Linked DNA regions of Schizosaccharomyces pombe. Changing the gene in region 2 together with the main gene of any one other region gives a genetic interaction. Each region holds a gene or a part of one and is shown on either strand. Other genes may lie near its edges. The genes, in order: pof10, tbf1, SPOM_SPAC2H10.01 and sut1.

What was found.
Region 1: mutations in tbf1 (region 2) and pof10 together harm fitness more than expected from each alone (negative genetic interaction), as found in Schizosaccharomyces pombe (one large-scale study listed by BioGRID).
Region 3: mutations in tbf1 (region 2) and SPOM_SPAC2H10.01 together harm fitness less than expected from each alone (positive genetic interaction), as found in Schizosaccharomyces pombe (one large-scale study listed by BioGRID).
Region 4: mutations in tbf1 (region 2) and sut1 together harm fitness less than expected from each alone (positive genetic interaction), as found in Schizosaccharomyces pombe (one large-scale study listed by BioGRID).

The regions. Positions count from the first base shown.
Region 1 is NC_003423.3:2,923,545-2,928,343, reverse strand, and holds pof10 (F-box/WD repeat protein Pof10), read right to left. Parts: upstream 2,831-4,799; 5' UTR 2,782-2,830; coding exon 2,724-2,781; exon of another isoform or gene 2,670-2,723; coding exon 790-2,669; 3' UTR 554-789; downstream 1-553. Other genes in the region: acl1 (ATP citrate synthase subunit 1), read right to left, coding at 50-123, 171-330; rio2 (RIO family protein kinase), read right to left, coding at 3,143-4,111, 4,266-4,331. UniProt on the Schizosaccharomyces pombe protein: Probably recognizes and binds to some phosphorylated proteins and promotes their ubiquitination and degradation.
Region 2 is NC_003423.3:2,372,007-2,377,055, forward strand, and holds tbf1 (DNA-binding factor Trf1), read left to right. Parts: upstream 1-1,918; 5' UTR 1,919-2,167; coding exon 2,168-3,625; 3' UTR 3,626-3,733; coding exon of another isoform or gene 3,734-4,441; 3' UTR 4,442-4,481; downstream 4,482-5,049. Other genes in the region: SPOM_SPBC19G7.18C (uncharacterized protein), read right to left, coding at 66-605, 652-722, 771-918; COG complex subunit Cog5, read right to left, coding at 3,734-4,441, 4,482-4,554, 4,604-5,049. UniProt on the Schizosaccharomyces pombe protein: Binds the telomeric double-stranded TTACAGG repeat and regulates telomere length.
Region 3 is NC_003424.3:5,271,141-5,276,497, reverse strand, and holds SPOM_SPAC2H10.01 (transcription factor), read right to left. Parts: upstream 3,477-5,357; 5' UTR 2,328-3,476; coding exon 885-2,327; 3' UTR 515-884; downstream 1-514. Other genes in the region: nas2 (26S proteasome regulatory particle assembly protein), read left to right, coding at 1-303; SPOM_SPAC2H10.04 (uncharacterized protein), read right to left, coding at 3,663-4,037.
Region 4 is NC_003424.3:3,933,611-3,938,692, forward strand, and holds sut1 (plasma membrane sucrose/maltose:proton symporter Sut1), read left to right. Parts: upstream 1-1,750; 5' UTR 1,751-1,871; intron 1,872-1,917; coding exon of another isoform or gene 1,918-2,223; 5' UTR 2,224-2,442; coding exon 2,443-2,920; exon of another isoform or gene 2,921-2,986; coding exon 2,987-4,170; 3' UTR 4,171-4,539; downstream 4,540-5,082. Other genes in the region: karyopherin/importin beta family nuclear import signal receptor Kap104, read right to left, coding at 1-228, 351-458; SPOM_SPAC2F3.07C (uncharacterized protein), read right to left, coding at 1,918-2,223.

The DNA.
Region 1 (4,799 bases), 550 kb from region 2:
TAAAACGCTTATTTGCAAACTAATAAGCATATTTATGCGGACAACTTACTTCTTCAATTGTACGATAAACAGGCAACAGAATTTCTTTAGTACCCCAATAAAGCTTGCTGATACTTTGACTTCCTAAGCACGCGTTAGTATTCAAATTTTTATATCAACGAAGCACATACCGAACGTATATATGATAGCAGCTACAGATGGAACAGTTCTACCACACATATAATCAAAGTCAAGCATTCCTTGAACAGCCTTTGTCTGCATGCCATACACAAAGGCTCTGGTGTCCTTGGAAAAAAGCTCATAAGAAGGTTTATCCACTGATCCCGCCATTGTTGTTCTTGTCACTGTGTTGGAGGAGGTAAGGAACGTTCGCTCATTGTTTTGCTGAACACTTTTTTACATTTAACGAGATGTTTGCGATAATTGAAATTTTGAAAATCAGATAACGCAATCAAGCGATACTTTTTATACATTCACTGATCAACGGTGCGTATGCCTTAAGAATATTTTTTTATGCTTTTATTAAGCAATAATATTATCCTTAAATAAGCATAGTAGGATATAAGAAAATACGTATTCCTAAAAGATTTTATTAACAAAATTAAAGTAACCTCTATTTTGAATTATAAAAATTCCCACCAAAATCCCTTGAATCCTCCTCCTTTTTTTACTTCGGAAGATTGATGAAGCATGTAATAAATAGATGAAGGACATGACTATATGCAGATGCAAAAATTTAACTAACGTATATTTTTCTACTTTTTCCCTCTTAGTAAACTACTAGGTGTATCACATTTCCATGAGTGATAATCGCATGGCTAGTTCAATCTGCTCTTGTTCGTTCAGTTCAGCAACATTCGCTTGTTCTTGCGGTGGCTCATGATTTGAACTTAAAGCATTTAATGACGATGTAGCTTGTTCATCGTTTTCTTTAAAATCTTCTTCTATTTTATCAACATCCATGGAGAGCTGAACCATTCTCTTAGCTTCCTCTTCTTGTGAAAGCATGGTAACATATGCTATGATTTCTTCTTCACTTAAACCAACCAAGCCCTCACCAAAATGCTGTTCAAATTTTTGCCGGGCTTCCATTTTTTCTCGTCTTTCCTGAGCAATTTGGTCCAAACCTAACATGATTTCTCTTTCGACTTCATTTTTTGAGTAGTCAGACGACTTCGACAGATTATCGTGTGTCACCGAAGGTCTCAAGGGTAAAACCTTGGACCTTTTATTAACAAAAGGTTTGGGAATTGTATAAGACCAAGATTTGACATGCTTGCTCATGGTGATCACACCTTTCAAACTTAACGGATTTGAGTCAAGCAGTATGCAATTAATTGGTTCTCTTCTAGCAGCATTCCTGGCACTCGCTATTTTTTTCAAAAAATTCCCAGTAACGGTATCGTATACTCCGCAATAGCCGCTAGCCGACCCTACTACCATTGCAACTTCATTCAAGTAAATATCGGTAATAGGAAAATTTGAGTATGCAGTAATAGTTCTAAGAATGGCCTTGTTAGGATCTTCAGTGCGAGTGTTTACAACATAAACCAAACCATTTTCATCACCAACAGCGAGCAGTCTTGCTCCTCTACCAGGAGTTGATTTTGACAACACACGATCGTTCGTATCTAAGGAGATTGAGGTTGGTTTTCCGTTGAGAGGAATTGAAGATGTTTGAACGCCGACATTATCGTTTTTCTCCAAAAATTCTTTAAATGAAACTCGACAAATACAATTTTTCGGTGCGCCCCTGGACAAGAAGGCAACACCGGCACAGCAATCTGCCGTCATCAGACAAGGAGGTTCCTCTTCATCAGTTAACACACATTTTCTGGACGATAAAAGTATAGGCTGCTCATTCTTTCGGGAGCGAGCATAGCCCGGTATTAAGTATAATTGATATGAGTTAAGTTCATAATTAAAAGTGTCAACGAGTAGCATTTTGTATTTCGGCCTGAAACACAAAGAAAGGATTTGTGAAGAACGGAATTGAAATGATTGAAGACTAACACCTGTTTTAACATCCCAGCAATGCACGGATCCATCATCTGATCCAGTAACCATACCGATTTCCCCAGTGGGGGGCAAATCACCGGTTAATGCATCAATGCATGTAACTGAATCAGCATGGGAATCCAGACAATAACGAAATTTTCGAGGAGTCTCGGCTTGACGTGACATCAAAATAACTCCAACGCGACCATCCATAAAACCAAAGCCAAAAATTTGTTTCCCCAATGTCATTGTAGATAATCCATGCGTAAAGCTGCCATCAGTACTAGCATGTAATAAAGACCTCTCAACCTTTCCAGTGGTAGGGTCGGAAACGGAGATTGTTCCAGTAAGCCAATTTCCTGAATAAAGCCTTCCTGAAGAAAAGTCGTAATAAAGGTTGGTCAATTGTCCAACGCGACAATCATACTGAACTGTTTGCCCTTTCCCTTTTTCATAAGCTCTAGTAATGGTAGAACGTAAAAGATATTCTTGCCGCCATGTTCCATTACCTAGTGGACTAAATATTTGCGACTGATCACCCGCAAAGTGATGAAAAAAAGCAGTACGCCAACTTAAATCATCGGATAATAACTTTTTCCAATATTTGCAAGTGCATTGAGCAGAAAGTAAAGAGCGAGGATCAAGAAACGAAAATATAATGATCAAAATTTCTAGAAAAAGTTAACAAAATCTCGAAAACTAAAATTGAATGTGTGAGAATTTACCTTTTGGCAGGTTTAAAACTGTTCTATTCGTATTATTTGAAGAATGATCCCGATTCATTCTCCTTAGGTTTGAGGATGTAAAATCCAAAGATGTTGGTTCCGATTTCATTGGTCTTGGCGTTTTGCCTTAGTATATAAAGTGGAACTTACTACGTGTACCAACGTATCGCTCAGAAAACGTCCTGTAATCATTAATTAACGAGCATTTTATATTCGAAAATTAATGTTTGCTTGTATCTTTTGATAGATTAATTAAAATGCTTTTATCTACATCCAAATTGAAATGAAAATTTAAAACAGTAACCAAAAAAGCTGAATATATTAACCCTATGCTAGTCCCTAACACCAGAAATACCTAATAAAATGAATAAATGATTTTACTGAACATGCAATTGTGCAATATGGTTTCATTAAAACCATCATTCCTTCTCTTCTTCTTCTTCTTCATAGTTATCAGATAAATCATCACCATTTTCTTTTCTTTTTTCTTCTTCTTGTCTATATTTTTCTAGTTCTTTAGATTGTTTCTTATTAAATCCTGAAGCCTCAATCATGATATCCAAATTATTTTCCTTTTCCATTTTCGATATGTCTTCGAAATTAGGAACATCACCTTTGTATTGATAGTTTTTTTCAAAATATTGCACAATGCACTGTACGTCTCTATCAAAATAAAATTGCGCATCAGGATGACTAGTAGATACCATTTGCGGAAAATCAATTACAACAGCTGTTCCATCTTCACGAACAATGATGTTAAATTCGTTGAAATCACCATGTATTAACCCATTCCTTGCAAATCGAACGATAATATCCATTAATGTCTGATATAGAGCAGGTGGATCACGAATGTCAGTAACAGCACGAAGAGGAAACGCATCAATCATTTCCATGATAATACAATGCCTGGAATGATCAATTGGAGCAGGTACAGGGAAACCATGCTCATGCAAGATCTTCATAAAAGCAAATTCTTTTGTGGCAGCTAATCGAGACAGATACTGCCATGATCCAGTTTTACGATTTCTCAAATAATCTCTATTGTTTTTTACACTCCGGAAAGATATACGCCCAAGCCTGTGGATTTTTAAGATATATTGCTTTCCTTTTTGGTCTCCTACGACGTAGACATCAGATTCTTTACCGACGCCTATTTGATTACCGACAGAGTAAACGGATGCTCTCTTTGACAAGGCCTTCAATGCCAAGTAATCATATCCCGCATATGTTAGTCGATAGCCCTCATAGCTGATATGCGGCACCTTTGCAATTAATTTATGCATAAACAAAACGGACAATGATTTCGTACAAGAGCCACCGCGTATTTTAGCAATTTGATTAATCATATTCGTTGGAACAACTTCATGATTACGGCTTCCCATTTCTACCTATAACTTGTTAGTTCGAATACTTATTGAAATCAAAATATAATTAATTGAATGCATCATATCGTATGTGTCAATAAGTAAGAAAATACAAAACATTGTACGATCAAAACGATTTAAGCTATATGACTGCCCAAAGATAAAATAAAGTGCTTACAGCTGTCAGAGTGCGAAAATCCTCGGCAGAAAGATATCTCATTGCTTTTATATTCAAATTTACCATCTTGACGAGCTTAACTTTTTTTCTTGCTAAAAATAAAAAAATAAGTAAGAATGCTAATCAAAGTTCAATTCCGACAATCACTAAATTGTGGTTCTCGTCAAAATGGTTGGTGTTTTGGCTAAGTGTGCTTAAAGTATTACTTGCCATCTGAGAAACATTTTTTACTTCACGCTTTAAAATTATGTAACCACAAAAATGAATACCAACTTTTTTAAAATATGAGAGCTATACACAATTTTGTCTTTAAATATCTTATTTAAGCATTTCTCAATAATTTATTAATTAGGATTACTTAAAATATACATTAAACCTTCCCTTTGATATAAATAACATAAAATTAAAATACTGACAGTAACGAAACGAATAAAAAAGGCCTACTGGTATATAATCCACCAATTTAATAACTAGTGGACAGACCAAAAAGATATAATATTGAAAACAACCAAATAAATTACAAGAAATAAATAG
Region 2 (5,049 bases):
TTCAGTGACACTCAAATTGGTAAAAATTAATTTTAAATTATCGTAACATGTAGAGATAAAGGAAATTATTTGGAAGACGATGAATCATTCCAGATCAATTGATCAAATGCCTCCTGTTCGTGAGAAATAGGTTCATCCAACTGTTCAGAGCCTAGATTAGAAGTTCGGGAAGGAAATGCTTCAGAATTTTCTTGTCCACTAAAAGCACTATCTGTGGATTTAACACTCGAGTCTTCTTCGTAAAATGGAAAAGAATTGTTACCGGTATTTCGATTACGGTTACGAATAGCTTCCCATGCTGACGCTGGCTTTGATCGATCTTCAAAGCCATTGTCTTTAGAGTACATGGCGTCCTCTTTCTCCGTACTCTGTGAATTCGTAAAGGGATCTTGACTAGAAGAGGCACCAGTATTCGGCATACTTCCAGGTAATTGATATTTTGAGTTTTTTGGAGGGAATTCAGAAGATGAAGAAGGAAATCTGCCTTGTCGCATCGTTGTTCTTTGTCGAATAAGGGAGTCTTGTATTTTGCGAAGTATTTCAAAGCCATCATCTCTTTGACGTATAGCCGACAAATTGTATGCCAGAGTAGTAATCTGAGCAACCTATTCATAATTTGTAAGCTTGAGCTTAGTATTACTTAAAACTTACCCCATTTCCAGCAAGACCTCCTATAATTGATGTTGCATACAAGCGGATTGGAGTAACCTTTTTGTTACGAGCTAAAAAATAAGAAAGTTATTTTCAATTGCTTGTTCGAAATCTCATACCTAAGTATAATGGGAGAGAAAACCCGACTAGCATCCCAAAAATCGTATTTCTTTTGACACGGTATTTTGCATGATTTAGAAATTCCTTTTGGTCATCACTGAAATGGTTTTGAGGATCATTTAACATTCGTTCCCAAAAAAAATCCATGATAATAAACGTTGGAAGCGATTCCTGAGGCTACACAATAATGTCAAGAATATGAAACGTGCTTATACGGGTTATGTTAGCGAAATAAATGTAATTAAATTATTTGCGGACTGTACAATTTAACCCAATATATAAAAATTTGAGGCCTTTCTAATGTAAAAATACTACTACTAAAAGGTAATAGTACTCATCACTTGTTGCCTTATGGATAGTTTGGATACTGATGTAAGAGGATGTGAATAAGGAGAATCTCTAGGGATTAGGACCATCTAAATTTCCCAGCTACTACAGTGATACTTGGCATGAATAAGAAATACGTATCTGAATAAAAATTTGACACACAAGATTGTTCTGTTGAAATTTCTTATGAAACTGATAGACTGAATTTTTTTTGGCTGGTAAGCACTTGTGATGAAATATGCAACTTTTTCGAACTACGTTTTACATTCCATCTTTCAATGAAACAGACCTTGGTGGCATCAATTCGTGGTATACGATTGTTTTGAATTTTAATATTGCAAGCATATATGTTCAACAGGAATTTCCCAGTTGTTAAATAAGTCTATATCGTATAATTCTTTGTCATTAACCGTATTTATTCATTTTGAACTAATTTAGCACAGAATTCTATCTCGTAAATTAAACAAGCGCCACTGCATTTTACACAGCTAACGAAAAATACAAGAAGGCAATTGAGAAATAGAGAAATAGATGCAATACAGACTTGGTCTTTTTTTTTAAAAAGTTTTGCCAATTTAGACGGATTTTGTATCTAATATGTAGGAACTACTAGTAGTAGTTACAGCTTATTCATTAGTTAATAATGTCCAGATATCGCTTCTACAAAGGAATGAAATGTTGATAAAATTAGTAAAGAAATACAACGATATAATGGTATTTAACACATCTGGCTTATTGGAATTCGTTAATAAAAATAACGAACGCCAATGAAGTGAAATATGCAAGAGATTTTTTATTACGAGTCAATTAAATATACGCTGTCCTAATCAATTGACACACAAATACCTGAAAACTCGCATTTGGTTGTTACTTTGCCTGCATTGGAAGGATATATTTTAAAAAACCTTGTAGTAAAGAAGAATTGGAACTTTTGATGCAAGATTTACTATTCGGTAGTCACTGGATATCGTTGCTCCTTGGATTTGTTTAGCAATCGATTAATCAGACTGCTTCTCACCTATAGTTTGTATTTTCTTTGATCAATTGAAAAACTACGATTTCCAAGAAAATGTCAAAACGATCCTTAGACCCTAGTGATGATTTTAAGGGTCAAAAACGCTTAGCGATTGATCCAGAATCAACTGCCCTCGAACAAGATCGCCAAATGTTACAACAATTATCAGAACAAAATTCTGAACTCGAGCCTCAAAATGTTGCACCAAATGCAGAAATTCCTTTAGGGTTTGATCTTTCCGGAATTCAATTTAATATGACGCCGGACTTTTATTTACGCATGAATCAAGGCATGGATTACGCTTTCAACCAACCTAATCCTATTGCTACACCTCAGCAACTTCTTCGTACATCTCTTATTCCTACTCTTGGTAACCTTAGTAACATAATTTTGTCAATTCTTGGGAAGCCAGTACAAGAGGCATCTGCCATTGTCACTAATCCAGCCTCCGAAATGGGTATGGCCTTTACCAAAGTAATGAATATGTTTCGTATGGTAAAGGACATTTATACTGAAGAATCTTTTATTTATTCCTCTGCCATTGGTATGAGGACGCCGAGTCAAAGAAGTACGACTAGACGCGCAAATCTTGCTATCTTTCTGGCAGCTGTCTATGGAGCGCTACAAATTGGATTTTTTCATTTGAATGAAAATTTTCTGGAGGTTTTTGCTCCGGACGAATCTAATATCCTCACTAATCAGGGCACTCTTTATATGGAACTCAAAACCCAAGCATATATTTCGGCTATGGCTCAGGCAGAACGTCCCAAGGGAGACATATTAAACGATCTTTTTCCCTCTGACATGGCCCATCGATTTCTTATCCGACGAAATGCTAAGCTGGATGACAAACTTACTTATGTTGAAAAGCAAATCATAGAGAAATGTACGGCTAGAAAAGAAAGATTGGCAAACTTCTCCCCACAGGAAGCTTTAAATGAAGTATATCCATGGGGGAAATTTTTAAGCGAGATTGCTTGTTACATCCATAACAATTACTCGTCTATTTCGGCCATTCCAATTCCTGCTAACTCATTCAAACGACGATCCAAGAAGAACGGATTGAGGTTTAAGGCTGGCGAAGCCGAATCATCCCCTTCAGAATCTGGTTCAGACCTGACCGATAGTCTCGCATTTGGTATACCATCTTCAACTTTTGACGGCTCCTCGGAAACACAAAATGTATCCAGTGTCGTTCTTTATGATCAGGTTCGACATATGACAAATAATAACCTAAATAACAAGCGTACGAGGCGCGTAGCCAATCGTCGATCTTGGACAAAAGAGGAAGAGGAAGCATTGCTTGATGGTCTTGATTTAGTAAAAGGTCCCCGGTGGAGCCAAATTTTGGAGCTTTATGGTCCTGGAGGCAAAAAGAGTGAAGTTTTGAAATATCGCAATCAAGTTCAGTTGAAAGATAAGGCTCGCAATATGAAACTATTTTTTCTCAAAAGTGGTCAGGTGGTCCCCGCAGCATTACAATGTGTTACAGGCGATCTTCGGCGAGATTAAGTAGTATCAGGAGTTTATTTCATTCTTGATTAAGTTTGCGATTTTTTTTTAAATACTAAAACGATTAAGCGTGAGGCATTTTATGTATAAATTATAATTATTATTAATCTATGGGTTTTTTGGTGCTAATACTCGGAGGCTATTCATTACAATTGAACATTCCCGTGTATCTTTATTTACAATTTCGGAGGATGACCTGGCAATAGCTTGTTCCACAATATGCGTAACTCGCTGAAAATCGCTTCGGAATACCCGCAAGAGTATTGGATCACGGCGATCAAGCATTTGCATTTTGCTGCTGATAGAAATTGCCAGCTCTTTGAAAAAATAGATACAAATAGTTGCACCATCAAGGATAAAATTTGGTTGCATTTGAAAATATTCTAATAAATTTGGGTAGTCTGGATTACAAATATTAGCCTTTTGAAGTGACCTTTCCCAAAAGACGCATTGTGCACCAATCTTTGAAATTTGGTACCACCCGTCTTCAAATTTGGACCATATAGTAGAATTTGCCGCTGAAGGATCTGTACTGTTATGTAGGAGTCTTCGTGTAGTGGGGGACAGTTGGAAAATCGAGTCGAATTGTATAATGGCCTTCTGTATACGAGAACTTAAAAGACGAGTTAAGTCCTGTTCTAACAAATATTTGTCTAACATATATAAAACAGAGCAAGCATTTGTAAAACCATTAGAGTTCACACTGAAAGAAAGTTGATCTTCTTGTGATAATAGATAGCTGGATGTTTCTTTTATAATTCTCGATCGATTGGTTATATTAAGTTTTAAGAGTAAAGAAACGGACGATTGTCTTTTCTACAATAATTAGCCAAGAAACAGAAAATATATTTCATACCATTAATGGAAACCGGCTTAATAATTGATCAGACTCTTGTAATAGTAAAGATGCTTGATAATAGCGTGAAAGTCTTGAATTTGTTAGCATACCAAAATCATTGAGCAAAACAATAAGCATACTTTTCATTTTCATTAATCGATCCCTGGAAAAGGGGAAATAACTTTGCTTGTATGCCAAAAAACTCCCCAAGCCAATACAAAGTCATGTATGTTGAATGCAAATTTACAATTGCCTCATGAAGGGGACCCAAATTTTCAGATGGAATGACTACCAGCGAACGAATTCTTTCATAAACCAACATCAATTGTTCTAGTTTTCCCTCGATATCTTGCAAATATGACTGAGCATTCAAAGAACTAGATACATTTTTCGTCAACGTGGTTTCCTCATGCACAATCAAATCGGTAATTTGCCGCTCTACTTCTTTGAGTGCATACCCCAACCTCTTTCTGGCGACTTCTTTGTCTTCGTTAACATCGGAGTCAGCATGAACAGAGATTAACACTCGTTCAGCCTGCGCCTTTGGATCGAAATCTGATTTTTTGTAATCTGAAAAATCATATCG
Region 3 (5,357 bases), on a different chromosome or scaffold from region 2:
AATGATATTATATCTAGATCCAAAATCCTAGGACGTGTAAAGCCATTCTGTGTTGTAGATTCTGTTGCAGTCGAAAGTCCGGCTCAAGAAGCTGGTCTCTGTATTGGTGATGAGTTAGTTCATGTTCAAAATGTTACTTCCTTATCAGAACTTCCTACTTTCATATCTAATAATGTCAATAAAACGCTGGATGTTCTTTTAATCCGTGGTTACTCAGCAGATGGATCGACTAACTTGGTAGAATTAAAATTGACCCCACATAAATGGCAAGGCCCTGGGCTTCTAGGTTGTCATTTGCGCTGAATGATAGCCCGCTTTGCCTCGCCAAAATGCATAAATAAAAGACAGAGGATTTATTGTATTTATGATTATTACAAGTATTATTAATGATATAAAACCCATGCACATAATACTCAATTCCTTAATATGCATGAATAAAATTATGAACGAGTCAACTCTAATGAAAAGTCAAAAAGTCTACAAGTTTGACACATACATGTATACTTATGCTACGTTCGATGGTTAAGTAAATGATACACTGTATTAATAGGGGAAAGTCATAATTAATTTAACAAAAATGAAACCTCGTTATAAACAAAACCTGGAAAAAATCAAAATGAACAAAAAGGGGGAAATGAAAAGGTGCCGAGCAAATTAGTCATACAACCATTTTTAGTCGTTGTGTATTACCGGGATACGCAAAAGCTGGCTTTGGAATGGGAAAAAAGACGGGTTTAAAACATTATTCTTCTCAATTAAAGAATGATAATGCCGGATTTTGAAGAGAAATGAAAGGTAAAATGCTTATTCTCAAAAAACAACGAAGTTAGAGAAATAAACGTTTCCCGGTTACAACCAACAAAAAAGCCATGTCAAAATTTGACTTAATATGCAGTTTGAATTGGATGATCCTCATCGAAATCACGAATAAAGAAAAACATATCATCCAGAGATGTATTTGAAGAGAAAACAGCAGGATTACAAGTCTTCATTGTAGCTAAAGGCTGAACTTTGTCAACATATTGATCTGGCCATAAGCTAGCGTCATCACTTAAATAACGAGAAGGCTCGTCGAATGAAATGTAATCAGAGCTATTAAAAGATTGGGGAGGTAGAGGACCGAGTTTGCCAGAGGATTGTTTGGCATTCAAACTGTCATTTGCGAAAGATTGCTGTCCAAGCAATTGGCTTCCACTTCCTTGGTCAATCTCCAAAGTAAGAGGATCTACTGCTCCAATCGGGTCATTAGCCAGATTGAAGCTACGAAGGACTTCGTCTGCGTCAAGAGAAGGTGAATCAACAGCAGAAGAATCCGTCAGATACGAGGAATAATCCAAATCAGATCCACCATTGGAATGAACGCTGTTGGTATCAACGGCAGCACCAGTGCTATTGCTACCAGGAGTAGATTTTGGGGAAACGGATGCACCAAATGAAGCTGAACTTGAAAGAGTCATTTCAGAAAGCATGGGTAAATGTTCAAGAGACTTACTTGACATTTGAGAGACCGAATCTGTTTGAAATCTAACGCTATCCTCAACGTTGGAATATGACATGCTACCTAATACATTGCTGCCAACAAAACCATTATTGCCGACTTTAGCAGCAGGTAACAAGGAGCTCTCAGGATAGTTAGAAGTGTTGGAATCGGCAAAGTTGCTAAGAGAAACACTCCTAGGGACAGATGAACTCAAAGAAGAGGATGTCAAAGTTTCCTTGGAAGGGAAACTAGCAGGGGAAAACCGATCTAACGGTTGAGAAGATGGAGATACATATAATGAAGATTGCATTGGAGATTGAGACCAAGTAGATGAGGCAAATTCAGAAGATCCCATGGAGAATGAGGATCTTGATGAACTCTCAGAAACAGCAACTGGGCGATAAGGAGTTTTGAAAGGACCAGACCCAGAAGCATATCCAGGAATGGAATCAAGGGAAGATGTGTGAGATGGAGAGCTACCATTAGAATTCACAGGAAGGTAGTGAGGATTATAAGAGCAATCATCGCAATGGTTGGTAGCCGATATTAAGGTACCGTCGGATGCATAAGGGAAATGTGAAGAGGTCATAGGAGATAATGAAGGTGTTGAGGCATAAGAGGGAAGGACGTTGGTCTTTCCATTCGTTGAAGGACAGTGTAAAGGGGCAGACTTTTTACGGCAAGCACGCCACGAGGTGGTTGAAAAGTGACAATCGGCGTGAGCCTTTTGACAAGCTAAACAAGGTTGTCCAGGAATGTCACTACCAGTACAACGGATTTTTCTGCGTCTACATCTATCGCAGGCAACGGCAGTTCGCCGACGTGGACCGGTATTTTTTTGAGTCATGTTAACAGTTTAAAGGAAATCCCTACAGAAAGAAAGGGGAATTAGAGTTGGAAAAAAAAGTAAATGCAATTAGTGAAGTAAGACAGAAGAACCAGCTCTTATATAACAGGCAACGGGCTTGGAGGGGACTTTAGAAGACCACGGCCGAGATAACAATAAATAAATAATAATAAAAATTAGCGGAAAGGAAATAAAACGATATAAGAAAGCGAGGTTAAAAGTATGAAATATAGATAGCCTAGCTTCTATAACATAAACAAGTACAAATATTTGTAAAAACTTTGGTAAACAAAGAAAAAAAATCAGAAGAGGAAATATAAGCAGAAAAAAAACGATAGAGAAAGACTAAGGTTTTTTAAAAACTTGAGAAATGTAATAAATAAGCAGGGAAAACCGATTTCAAGAAATTCAGATGTTACGACAAAACACGAGTGAATCCTATTTGACTTGGAGGGAAACAAATCAAGGGAAGGATTGACTCGGCGACGTAAAAAGAACTTTACTTCAACAGATAGTAGCAATTGTGGAAGAAAATTCAAGACTTAGCAATGAGCGAGAAAGTGAGCACAAAGCAAGTCTGTAATGGAGAAAAAGTGAGGAATACGACAAAGTTCAATGAATAGAATTTTGTAAGAAATACTCCAAGTTGTTGATTGCTATTCAAAGAAAAGAATCAACAGAAGCTCGTAAGAAACAAAACCGGCGAATTAAAATTCGGAATTGAATTGAGCAGAGATATACTGTAATTATTTTTAGCAGTTAGCAAAAATAAAAAAACAGTACCAATTCGATGGCTAGAAGAAAGCAAAGCACAATAGACCTTGAAAATGAATCAAGGAACAAGGAATTTTTTTTGGGGGAAAAAGAAGTTTAAGAAAGAGTAGGTGAAATGTTGGCAACACCTATGTATATGAAACTCGACCTACAATGAAAGGCGAACAGAATGAAGATAGAAAAAATGATCAACAAAGAAGAAAAGAAGAATGGATAGATGGAAAGTGTATCCAATGGTCAAAACCAATCGATGGTGAAGACAAGTAAAAGAACAAGAACAAGTATTTTCGTACTTAGATTTGATAAACAAATCACCTTTGCAAAAGGATAATTCAATGCTTCAAAGAAAGAGACTTTGTTTGGAAAAAAAGTTGTAAAAGACCAGCAGGCAGCTACAGATATATATAACGAAAAAGCAGCATTGCCCAAACGAACAATCGAGATCTGAGTTGCAACTGCCCCCAAATGCCGAGGGGTCCAGTTCAATTGTTCAGGGACAATTAATGATGTCAATTAAAGAAAAAGCAAGATCGACATGTTGCGGCAGAATCGAAATACTTGTTACTCAAAAATACCGGTAATTTGAGGTAACAAGAAGCGAGGGGTAAACAAAAGATGAGATTGGAAGGGCAATGCACACTGCCGAAGGGGGCACCATTGAAGAAGTAGAGTTGGCTGCAGGCGAAAGTGGAGGGCAAGGCAAGGCATGGTAAGGTAAGGTATGGTATGGTAGGGTATTGTGTTGTATAATACTGGATAGGATAGTATGGTATGATATGGAATTGTTAAGACCAATAAACTAAAGAAGAATGGGTAAACGTAGGGAGAGGAGAGCAGAGTGAAGAAGGAAAAGAAAAATTTATGAAAAAGGAAATTCTCTGTTGAATTGAGTAGCTTTACTGTAACTGTAAGAAAAAGCATGTACAAGAATGGCATGGGGTAGAGGAATGGTGAGTAGTAGTGCAAGTTAATAGCTAAACTGATGGTTTTTAGCCGGTCGGTTGTGGAGTATGGATGGCATTAGGGGTCGACGAGTTTGTTTTGGTTTTGGCGGTGCGGAAAACAAAGGTAGCGCATAACTAGGTTGAAAAAAGGGAAAGGAAAAGTGAATTAAAGTAAAGCAAGATGAGGCAATCGATGATACAAGACAATTGTAAAGTAAGGAGATAGGTAAATAGGATTGGCGTGGTAGAGCGCGGGAAGGCAAAAAAGGAAAGCAGCGACAAGCTCAGAGAACTATTAGAAACCTTGGTAGGAGGTTTGAGCGCTACGTAAGTAAATAGAAGGGTTCAGCTTAACCTTTGCAATCGGAATAAAGGCATGTAGGCCAAATTAATCATTGGGTGGACGGCATTTGAACAAAATCAAAGGTTGTATAAGCGAAGTTCGCTAGTGTCAACTATGATGAGACAACGGCAGTTGAAAAAGTGGGGAATGGCAGTGAAACGTGGGGTGGCACTAAAAAAGATGGAGGAATCGGCAAAGAAGGCAAGCTAAGGTGACCTTTCGGTGGTGGGGCAAATAGTGCAGTGCAAGGAGAGTATTGAGGATTTCGGCAGTTGGGGGAGGAATAAAATTGGCCATATACAGGAAAAAAAAAAAATTTGCCAGCAAATGGGTGAGAGTTGGATTAAGATGATAGAGATTGGAAGATTTGCTATAGAGCATGCAGGCGAGTTTGAGACAAATAATCGAGTATAGTTTGATAAATGCCGAAAGCATGGAGTATTGTGATATGAAGGTGTTGAACAGGTAAATAAAAAAGGAGAGATACCGAAAAAGGGCAAGGAAATATCTCAATCAAGGCAAAAAAGAAGAAAAGAAAAATAGATAAAATAAAATAAAATAAATGAAAAGTAATTGTAAATAAACATTGAAAAAGAGGGACAAACTAGAATAAGGAAGAAAGTGGAGAAGAAGGGGCTGAAATTAAAAAAAAAAAAAAAAAAAAAAAAAAAAAAAAAGGAGCGAATATTTTTTTTTGTCAAGACAGAGAGAATGTGTGATGATGGACAAACAACATACGAAAAATTGAACGATATGAACAATGTTGCAATAAAGAAAGTTTCAGAAATATAAAAATAAAATAGATTAAAAAGAATAAAATAAATAAACAAAAAAATAATTTAATAAATTGGATGTTTAAGAGAAAAAAAAAGATGGAAGAAAGAGCAGGGAAATATTTAATCATCGTATGTGTTCTTACTAGGAAAGTCAACAAACCAAGGAATTGTAGTGAAGGATAACGTGGTGTAG
Region 4 (5,082 bases), on a different chromosome or scaffold from region 2:
TATGCCTCGAATGAGTTGTTCAGGGTCACACAAACCGCGAATAACTGTTGACTTTGTGTAATCGAGGCTCTGCAAACCTGAACCAGACTCTAAGCTTGAAACACGAACATTGTTCTTCAACAAAAGACCAGCAGCAGATCTAATTGAAACACTAAGCTCCGTAGCGTTGATGAGAATGCAAGTAAGGTAATTATTTAGATCTGGTATATCCTTTGCTTTCTCAAGCAACTATAATAAAGTTAGTTATGCCATTTGATTTCTTCTTCACACGTCGTTACACACGTGAAGTAAAAAGAAGCATCTTCTACAACGAGAAAGAAACTTTTAATTTTAGAAAAAAAAAATCTTACATTTAAAGCAGCATTCCTAGTCTGAGAGTTTTCGGAGAGTGAATTCTTTATCACTTCTGAAAGTTCTACGAGGACTTGTTCCTGGAGAACCCAAGGATTGTCCCCCATCTTACTCTGTACTTACTGTAAGAAGTTGTTGGTAGTAGTTCTCTGATGAGTGTGGGGAAGGCAGGTAGTACCATTCCAAGCAATTCCAAGATTTACATTTACCAGAGTGGTATGCTATGATTCGTTAAAAAATAAATGGATTCCAGTATTTGTTTTCACATTTAAACATGTATTGACAGGATTTTTCTACCAAGTAAAAAGTTCATATTGCAAATTTCCCGTAGACGCATCTCAACACTCACAGCACAGTATAATGATCTCATGTATTAAATAAATTAATTTACAGAATAAAAAAAAAAGAATTTTAGCACGTAGCTCCCCTATATCACTTTAAATTTGTTGATTTTTCTTCAAAAAATTTACGAAAAGTCCATTGGGTTGCATGTTACCTGCTGACGAAGAGAATAGCACTGTCTATGGAAAACCATGCAATGTTATTTAGGAATTTAGGGGCGGATTGATATTGTTTTGAATACTAAAAAAGAATTATATTTAAGCTCCATGTTATTCAAGAGAAGTATTTGAGCGACAAGCCATGCGCGGATAACACCATTGAGTTTAAATTACTATTGCTCGAACGTGGCAATATTTTAACTTCTCCAATTTATGTTCAGGCCCAATAAACACGTGCAAAGAAAGCTATTGAGTAGCATAGACAATTATCTAGGTCAATCATAAATATGTCTAACTCTGTACATTAACCATAAGAAGAATTATTCATCGTTATAAGGAATGGCTGCGTTCTCCTTATTTTTTTACAATATTTATGTATATACTTAATCACGTTAATATAGCTTACGAGTATACTGATTGCAACATTGTGTTTCGCTAAATATATATCGTTTCGCTACGAACTGCTCTTTAGTTTTCAAGGATGCAATAAAATACCGTAAAAGTTCTCCATTTTACCGGAATATTGCTGTATTCAGAATGCGCCCCTGGAGATGTTTATTGATATGTATACATATTCTTATAATAATATTGGAAGTGCGATAGCTACTAGTAAATTGATGAGTGCAGTTTAAATTTGATAATATTCTATATAGTTTTAATGATTAAATTAAGATTCAAATATACTAATCATCATTAGGACTTAACGGCATCTATTTATACGATATTTCAAAAAGATAAAAAGCATTTGACTTATACAGGAATGCAGTGTGCCGCGGTGTAATGTCCTATAGTGCAGAATCACAGTGTAACGTCAACATGACATTTACGCGGAGCTGGGCTGATGGAGTCGCTCCTCTAAACCAAGCATATTAAAAGGTGTAGTAATTTGAAAGGATTCATAAGAATTCATACTTTTAAAAGGTACTTTATTAGTAAGGAATTATTTAATTATTTATTATTATTTCTTATTCCTTGCTTATTGCTTTAAATTGAAGCTTTTTGCTTATTGACGATTTCAAAGTAAGTACACGATGCTTTGTTCTATGTTCATTTTAATCGCTTTTGTTCAACTAACCTGTATCTGCAGACATTCATAACATTTTCTTACGTATCCTTTCTTTTTGTGACTCGTCGTTGAACTTTCAATCGGATTCTTTAGTTTTCTGCTTTTCTGCGAACTTAATCTACAAATTGCCATTTGAAACTTTCGAGCATCACTGGGATTGGTATCGTTGTGAAAAATTATATGTCTAATACTTTCAAACATTGCTAAAATCAATATAATAATTCTTGAAATCCCCGAAATTAGAAGGATTTTTATCACATATTCGATTATACTTCTATCATTTGAATTATTCTCTCTGACTAACATTTAAAACATTGTGGCCTGTTGTATGCTATCAAGGATCAGATACATTCATTGCAAGTTAGACAGCGATCAATTATTTTGAAAAATTAAAAAATCATTTCTCTCAATCATAATTGAATCCCCCTGAACTTTGTTGTAGGAACAGATATCTCTTACCAAAGAAGTTCCACCAAACGTTCCTCTCATTTCTCTTTTGCTTTTAAAGCTTAGTTTCATTAAAATATGTCTGTAGATGAAAATCAATTGGAGAATGGACAACTTCTATCCTCCGAAAATGAGGCATCATCACCTTTTAAAGAGTCTATCCCTTCTCGCTCTTCCCTCTACTTAATAGCTCTTACAGTTTCACTTTTGGGAGTTCAATTGACTTGGTCGGTTGAACTTGGTTATGGTACACCGTATTTATTCTCACTTGGTCTTCGTAAAGAATGGACTTCAATTATATGGATTGCCGGTCCTTTGACTGGAATATTAATTCAGCCAATTGCTGGTATATTGTCCGACCGGGTTAATTCAAGAATAGGTCGGCGGAGACCGTTCATGCTCTGTGCTAGTTTGTTAGGAACATTCAGCTTATTCCTTATGGGCTGGGCCCCTGATATTTGCCTCTTTATATTTAGCAATGAGGTTCTAATGAAACGTGTTACTATCGTTTTGGCTACGATTAGCATTTATTTGCTTGACGTGGCCGTCAATGTCGGTATGTGAATTTAGGGATTTAGTTTTCAGAGTAGTAGTTCATACAAATGACTAACTTTATAACTAGTAATGGCTAGCACTCGATCTTTAATTGTTGATTCAGTCCGTTCAGATCAACAGCATGAAGCAAATTCCTGGGCTGGAAGAATGATAGGTGTAGGCAATGTGCTTGGGTACTTACTAGGCTATTTACCTCTATATCGCATCTTCTCCTTTCTCAATTTCACACAGTTACAGGTGTTTTGCGTACTTGCCTCCATTTCCTTGGTACTCACAGTTACCATCACAACAATATTTGTGAGTGAAAGGAGATTCCCACCAGTTGAACACGAGAAATCGGTTGCTGGAGAAATCTTTGAATTTTTTACAACTATGCGACAAAGTATTACCGCACTTCCATTTACATTAAAAAGAATTTGTTTTGTTCAATTTTTTGCATACTTTGGATGGTTTCCATTTTTGTTTTATATTACTACCTATGTGGGTATTTTATATTTACGCCATGCTCCTAAAGGCCATGAAGAAGATTGGGACATGGCGACTCGTCAAGGGTCGTTCGCATTACTGCTTTTTGCTATCATTTCTCTTGCCGCAAATACAGCACTTCCATTGTTGCTCGAGGACACGGAGGATGATGAGGAGGACGAATCGAGTGATGCATCTAATAATGAATACAACATTCAAGAAAGAAACGATCTCGGAAATATAAGAACTGGTACTAATACACCCCGTCTTGGTAATTTGAGCGAAACAACTTCTTTCCGTTCGGAAAATGAGCCCTCACGACGCAGGCTTTTACCGTCTAGTAGATCAATTATGACAACGATATCCTCCAAGGTACAAATCAAAGGACTTACTCTTCCTATTCTGTGGTTGAGCTCCCATGTCCTTTTTGGTGTTTGTATGTTGAGCACGATATTCTTGCAAACATCATGGCAAGCGCAGGCAATGGTAGCTATCTGTGGACTGTCCTGGGCATGTACTCTATGGATTCCATATTCGCTATTTTCTTCAGAAATAGGGAAGCTTGGATTACGAGAAAGCAGTGGCAAAATGATTGGTGTTCACAATGTATTTATATCTGCCCCCCAAGTGTTGAGCACCATCATTGCCACCATTGTATTTATTCAATCGGAGGGCAGTCATCGAGACATCGCCGACAATAGTATAGCATGGGTGTTGAGAATTGGAGGTATATCTGCATTTCTAGCCGCGTACCAATGCCGGCATCTTTTGCCCATCAACTTTTGAAAGAATTCAGATGATGAATGTCGCAAAAATATGCAATTCGATGATATGTGAACATGAATATTATGAATAATTTACGATTGACGAAATATGAGTGAAAGCAATTGCTGTTTTTTCTAAAAGTGTAATTTGAATAAAAGAATGGAGAGGCAACGAAGAGTAATGGCATTATCAAAAGGATTTGTTTGATTGGGCAAACAATACACTGTCAAGATGGAAAAGGAAAGTTTTTCTTTGCATTTGATACAAGATTCATACTTGTGTAGAGTATAGCATGAACCAATATAAAAGATATACTTATAGTGTATAAAGGATATAAAAAGTAATAAAAATGAAAATCAACTTGATTGGACTATCTCTCTATTAATGGACACAAAAAAAACCATGGTGGCAGTAGTAATACTAGCAGATGTTTGAACTTTCTCGATTGATCCGAGTTTAAATTAGTATACAGTAAGAAGAAGCGAGCTTTGCGTAAGAAAAAGGGCAACAACACCATGTTGATCACAGTAAAGGGAAAAACAATGCATTGCCAAGCTTGTTTTCATTACAAAAAGAAAGAGTTAAAACGGAGAAAGAGCCTCAAATTAAGCTAAAAGAGCCAAATTATAAAAAGAATTTTCAGTCATATAGAATGATAATTCAGTATAATAATATGTTTGTAAGCATAAGAACTTTTGAAAGCTTCCGCTGTAATAAATAACATGTTATGTAATTCTCCATGTGCTCTTTCATCTAATCGGTCATACCATTATGAACATGCAATTAGCATCTAAACTACCTGCCTACTTTGTATAGCCTGCCAAGTCAGCTTAGTGTGTTAGGTAGCTAAGACTCCGTGTCCTCCTTGTCTAAGCCAAACGACCCAACTCGACAAGGCGTTGTCGCAATCTTCCCGCTAAGCGGTAGTGGAAA